2 linked regions of the Cricetulus griseus genome follow. The protein of the gene in region 2 purifies or fractionates together with the protein of the main gene of each other region. This does not show direct contact. Links are inferred from orthologs where the notes say so. Each region holds a gene or a part of one and is shown on either strand. Other genes may lie near its edges. The genes, in order: Fbxl3 and Cry1.

Region 1 (3,829 bases), on a different chromosome or scaffold from region 2:
AAGAAAGGTAGTTAGTTATCAGTGCATTATCATTTAAAGGACATTCATCTTTAATCATCTCTCCACATAACCTGAGTCTAATTTTCACAAGAGTTCATTATAATCCCTATATATATTTACTTATTCAGTGCTAAAAGACTAAGTTGATTTATTTCAAGTAACTGTACAAAATGAATCAATTTCATCTTTAGGTGGTAATTGGTACTTGAGTAAATCAAACAACACATGTAAATAGTGTCTACGTTTCAGGACACCTGAAGACACTAATGTCATTTAGAATTTTCAGATGAACCACATAACCTGACATTGCTCAGTGTTCTGAATTGAAAGATGCATTAGAGAAAAGTAAGAGTGTCCAATTAAACAAGCACAAAATAAACTGAACCAAAATAGAGGTTGCTGCTTAGTTCCCCGAAGTAAAGGACAATACAATCAAACACCCACACCTGAAGGGTAAAAGTTAGTTTATCTCTAGACTACAAATGTTAAATACCGTAACTTTCATTCCCAAGTAAATGTGTGTTTTATTGCATGCCAAAGGAGCTCTTAAGTTGCTATCATGTGGGCAAACAATGCACTAATCACAGCTCTCAAAATGAGGTTCCCAAACCACATGACAATGATCTGGATACTGGATACAAGCAAATTCTTATCCTAAACCAAACCATCTGAATTATAAAGTCGGTGAGTGGGAGGCGCAAGCTCTGCCTTTACACCCGCCTTGGTGAGGCTACTGAGCACAGTCTGAGGAGCACTGTTTTGGCTTAAAGTTTTCTTGAGTTTACAGTGACCACTTAACTATTATCAGGAGAGGCCAGAATAATCCCTGCTGTGTCCCTGCTTTCTAAATCAGAAATGGCAAAATACATCCCTGACAAAAAGTAATTTAAGTACAAATGAGTTCCATAAGTTGGATGTACCTGAGCTCTATCACTGGACTGTAAGTGACTATAAGGACTAAACACCAAGGACCCAGGCAGCCTACTATACAGAAGGACCTTTTACAATCTACTCAAATCACTTCTATTACAAGTTCTCCTATCTTACCAGAAGACAGATAGTATTTAGTAACAGCATAAAGGTCTAGGTGAAGACCACTGCTTACTACAGATTTAACCCAATTCCTTTAGCAAACAGGAAACAAAGGCAAGTCAGGCAATGACAGGCAATTCTATGCTTTTACTTTTTTGGGTTTTGTTTTTAACGTTTTTTTGTTTGTTTGTTTTTCAAGACAGGGTTTCTCTGTATAACAGTCCTAGCTGTCCTGGAATTCACTTTGTAGACCAGGCTGACCTCAAATTCATGGAGATCTGCCTGCCTCCGCCTCCCAAGTGCTGGGCTTAAAGGTGTGTGCCACCACTACCCGGCTGTTTTTAACATTTTTAAGAGAGAAGGCCTTACTATATACAGCCCAGGGAGGCCTCAAATAGTTGATTCTCTTGCCTCAGCCTCCCCAGTCCTAAAGTTACATGTGAGAGTCACCATGCCCGGCACATTTTCATCTTTTAACGCTAATTGTTAAAGAAAAATTTAGTATCAAGGATTCAGTGAGCATCCCAAAATACAACATGATAAACCCTTGTTCTCACACAAGCTCCTATGATTTCATATAACACTCTTCAAATCTCCAAATACCACCTTCCTTCACTCATCTCAGCATGACACATGCTCTCTCTCATCTCACCATTACACGTGCTCTTACTCGCCCCTTGTAACACTGAAATGAAGCAATCCCCCTCTTCCGTTTCCCTCTAAAATACACTCAAGTTGAAAAGTTCGATTCTATACCATCTTTAGATTTAGGGCTTTTTTTTTTTCTTTTTTAAAATGAAAACATATCAAAATAAGAAACACTTGCTGGGTGGTGGTGGCGAATGCCTTTAATCCCAGCACTCCGAAGGCAGAGGCAGGTAGATCTCAGAGTTCGAGGCCAGTCTGGTCTACAGAGTGAGTTCTAGGACAGCCAGAGCTACACCAAGAGACCCTGTCTTGAAAAACAAAATGAAACAAAAGCAGATAAAATAGCCAAGTAAGTTCTGCTCAGTAATCATTCCCCAATGTAGTGGTTCCTAACTTTTGTAATACTGTCTCATGTTGTGGTGACCTCAAACCATAAAATTATTTCATTGCTATTTCATAACTGTAACTTTGATACTGTTATGAGTTGTAATGTATGTATCGATAAGCAGGATATCTGATATGACCCCCCCCCCAAAGAGGTCAAAACCCAGAGACTGAGAACCACTGCCTTAATGTTAATGATACATTGCTCTTTCCTCAAATTTGTTGTTAACCATTCGCTGTTAACTTAAAACTTCAGTCAATTCATGCTCACTTAGTGACTGCTTTTGTTCTTTTAAGTAATTAATTGTAAAGGAGTATTTTAGTTCTATCGAATATTAAAAAATGTTTGCAATGGCTTCTAAGGTGTGCAATAATTTCAAAACTTTAAGCACTTTCCCTATAGAGTCAAATATTTTATAGACATAAGAAGTTGTATTGGTTAGAACATTAAAGCCTCTAAAAATGCTTTATTTTTAACAGAAGGAGTTAAAGTATTACCTTGAAGCTGACATACTGCAGATGGTTTGAATGCCTTTTAATAATCTGTTTGATCAGCTCTGGATGTGTAGCTTTCAAGTAAGATGTAGCTGGCTGATTCAGCTCAAATTCAAAACATCTCCACAAGTCAGGCATGTGAAACACCTGATTCCAATTCCGGCACACTTGGGAAGCATGAGCCCGATCAAGCAGAGGCAAGTACTTAAACACCTGGAGAATAATGTCCTGCAGCAGATTACCCCAATCACAAGGTTGAGAACACTCATGTGCAGTCCTCAGTTTCTTACGTTTCTCTGCAGTGCCTTCTTCAGGTGAGTCAAGGTCACTATCTCTTCCTCCTCGTTTCATCCTATTTAGAAAAATCCGTCATTTTTCCCATCCTACTTAGCTTTTAATCACAAATTCATTTTCTGTCACTGAGACCTATTTGCATTTGGAGAGTTAACAGAAATACACACAGAACTGAATCAATGATTCAAGGAGAATATAAAAATAGAGAGAGGTGATTTCAACCACTACTTATGACCTAAGAAAACCACAGATATATGATTCAAGAGTTGTACTCAATACTGAAAGTGACTAGAAAAGAGCCTATAGTGATACTTTCCAATTTCGTCAGTCACCCAAGGATAACTATATTTGAGTTCTTAAATGTCAAGTCGATCAAGGTGCCTATGAACCTCTAGAGAGGATGAAAGAAAGGTAAGTAGTCAACAGATCTACACTGAATAAATAGCTGTGACAAGTGCCAGTACGGCTGCATATGTCCAAACTTGGGCTAGAGCATAACCCAATGTTAAAGACCTTGCCCGAACCACTCCAGGCCTGTGCTCAACCTGGAACAGCATAAAACAGATTAAATAATTAAGGCAATCCACCTTGACTGCACTGTTTCAGCTGGAATGTGGTTTCTTCCCTCAACTCATTATTGTCACTCTGCTCTCCCTGTCTTTTCCTTTTTTCCTGAATAACACTTCCATGTGTTTTCTACATTACACACTTCATTCCATTTGCTTCTTGAAAAGATGATCTGCTCTCGTAGCCAATGGGACTAGAAGCTCTAAGACCAAGCTTCCTGAGTTTGAGTCTCTGCTCCCCTTCTCACTAGTTGTATGGCTTTGGGTAAATGACAAGACTGTCAGATGTTCCTGTTTGTAAAACGGTGACCTTAAGATACAGGGTTCTTGCTGGGCATTGGTGGCACACACCTTTAATCCCAGCAGGCGGATCTCTGGGAGTTCGAGGACAGGCTCCAAAATACAGAGAA
Region 2 (2,874 bases):
AGAACCGGTGGTTATATTGGTATATATTAGTATAAATGAGGTGACTTTAGTATGAAGGTGCCTAATGGAACCCAGTAGGGAGGGTGACTGGGAGCAGCAGCTAGCCTGTACAACCCAGGGAGCCAGGCTAACATTGATTGGTTGGGCTGTATGCCTTGCAGTACAAATGAATACTTTACATACTATTCTTACTTCCATTTTAAGATGGTAAGATGAAGACAGAAAGGCAAGGTCATGCCCAATATCTCAAAGCTAACAACTGAGAGAAGACAGGCTTTGACTTTGGAACCCATGCTCTTAACTGATGACTCACGCAGCCTAACTTGCAGCAATAAAACCATTAAGTGATACAAACAAATGAGACTCTTTCAGATAACTCTGAAAAATTCCATTTTGCTAGATAAAACCTATTCTTTCATTCAAAATGGTGACATGTGGTTTCTAGTATTTGTCTCTGTAATTTGCATCACATCTCACACAATTCTCTTATCCCAAACAAACAAGATGAAAAAATGAACACCAAGTACACAAGATTCCATATTTGCATAAACTTTAATAACAAAGTCACTTCAGCTATAAATGAACAAAAAATGGGGAGACAAAGAGAACCGAGCACAGCCCAGCAGTGTGAGTGGGAGCAGCTGTACACGCAGCTTTACCAGGCACTGTCCACGCTAACAGAGGCATCGCCTACTCATTGATTCCAGGTGTTTTCTAAAGTGTTACTATCAAACACTGCAGAATTGGTTAAACAATGATGTCAAGAAAAATGTGTCCTAAAATTTTAACAAAGTCTTTTAAGAAAGTCTAAAAACTTCCCATTTTCCTGCAATGACTCTCAAAACTTGAGTTTTATATCAGAATATCTGTTAACTTTAACTTTTACCATACATGAAAAATTATCAAAAATATACTGATGAGTCTATACTAACTGTGACTATATTTACATTAAGCAAACCTTTTGCCAAGTTCTTTATATACAAATTAGCACTTGTCCTATGTGATATTCATTAAAAAGTTAAAAACCACAGAAATGTTATTAGAAATAATATGTTCAAAATCTGTTTTCTGTGAATGAAGGACATTTTTAATAATTTAAATGAAGAGTCCTGACTGGCTCACCAACTTCAGCTGCACCAGAACTCCTCCTTCGTGTTTCCTGTGATTTAAAGGAAAAACCAATGAAAACTTGGCTGTAAGGAGTTAAATAATAAAAAACTGATACGCATTTACTGATTTTAACTTCAAGAAATTCATAATTAGGTGACATAAAAAACTAGGTGATAATGTAAACAGTTTCCAATAACCAAAAATATGAAAAATAATCTTTAAAAACTGGCAAAAGTAGGCCACCAGAGAGACGGCTCAGAAGTTAAGAACACTGGCTGCTCTTCTAGATGTCCTCAGTTCAATTCCCAGCAACAACATGGTGGCTCATAACCATCTGCAATAAAATCTGGTGCCCTCTTCTGGCCTGCAGGGATATGTGCAGGCAGAATACTGCATACATAATAAATAAATAAATAAATAAATAAATAAATAAATAAATAAGCTGGCAAAAGTAGCTAGTAAATACTTTCCTTATTAGGTCACAAAATAGTATCACAAATTCAATTAAATTGGATGTAGACACAATTTCTGATACTTCTAAAAAGGCCCAGCATTGCTTAAAAATTAATGACTTAGGTTTTGGAAGCAGCACAGCAGAGAAGATAATGCATGACCTGAGCATATGGTACGTTTGTGCAATCCTAGCCTTCAGGAAAATGACACAGAAGGACCACTGCAAGTATGAGGCTAGCCTGGACCACTGCAAGTATGACACTAGCCTGTGTATGAGTTCAAGGGTAGCCTGCACTATACAGAGACCATGTCTCAAACCCCTTCTCTCCTTAATTATCAATACTTAAGTAAAGGTTTGAGGTGAAGGTTTTAGAGGAATTATATTAAAGTTTTTGAAATTAGGAGGCTCCTTTGTTTTAGGCTCACAGTCATATCTTATGAAAACCTTGTCTTCCTCAAAACCAAAGCTTTTCAGGGTGAAAGACTGGATTCAGGGAGCATGGTTCTGGGTGCAGTGTTCTGCCCAATACAGGAGCGTCTCTCCTGTTCATTCATGAACAGGGTCTATGACAACTGCTTATATGCCAGAGAATAGAACAGTCCTCATTAGTTATTTCAGGTTAGTTCTATACTAAAGCAGGAGAGAAAACCTAAGTATTTACCATGTCAGTTACTGCTCTGCCGCTGGACTTTGGGATCAACACTCCGTGTCTCCTCTTCCTGACTGGGGCGCTTCCCGCTGCTGAGGCTGGTGCCCATGGAGCTTCTTCCTACACATTTACAAATGCACGTGTGAGGTGGGGCCAGGAGGGGGCGCAGTGATCTTGAGTGCTTGCTTCCCCTTACCTTGCTTTAGCAGGTGAGCTTGCTGACTGTCTCCATGAGCATAATGTAAAATACCACTTCCTTGAGAGCAACCTGTATTTCAAACAAAAGAAAATGACTTAAAAACTTAAGATGTATACATTAGGACTATAAAACCTGTTTTTTTTATAAGTATTTGTATTTAACTTTTCTTAATCTTAACTCTGAGCCAAAGATCACAATCTCAAAATCAAGAAAACTTTAAGTTCAGGCTGACCAGTGACAGACAAGGCAAAACCACTGGTTGTATTTCATTTCTATTTTGTGTGTAGTCTTTACATGTATGTATTTTTGTGTGTATGCACATGTCATGTATGTGTTCGTATGTGTGGAGACCAGAGGTTTTTAGATGTCTTGCTCTACTGCTCTCCACCTTAATTTTTCAGACAGCATCTCACACTGAGCACATAGCTCACCAACTGTCTAGACTAGATGGCCAGTGGGTTT

What was found.
Region 1: the proteins of Cry1 (region 2) and Fbxl3 purify together in Homo sapiens (affinity purification with mass spectrometry; 4 studies listed by BioGRID and IntAct, counting the BioPlex papers as one, with this or other methods). This does not show direct contact. The link is inferred for Cricetulus griseus from reciprocal best matches to the Homo sapiens genes CRY1 and FBXL3.

The regions. Positions count from the first base shown.
Region 1 is NW_023276807.1:254,746,442-254,750,270, forward strand, and holds part of Fbxl3 (F-box/LRR-repeat protein 3), read right to left. Parts: intron 2,912-3,829; 5' UTR 2,911-2,911; coding exon 2,563-2,910; intron 1-2,562. UniProt on the Homo sapiens protein: Substrate-recognition component of the SCF(FBXL3) E3 ubiquitin ligase complex involved in circadian rhythm function. Plays a key role in the maintenance of both the speed and the robustness of the circadian clock oscillation.
Region 2 is NW_023276806.1:150,311,849-150,314,722, reverse strand, and holds the end of Cry1 (cryptochrome-1), read right to left. Parts: intron 2,482-2,874; coding exon 2,410-2,481; intron 2,334-2,409; coding exon 2,230-2,333; 3' UTR 2,226-2,229; intron 1,160-2,225; 3' UTR 534-1,159; downstream 1-533.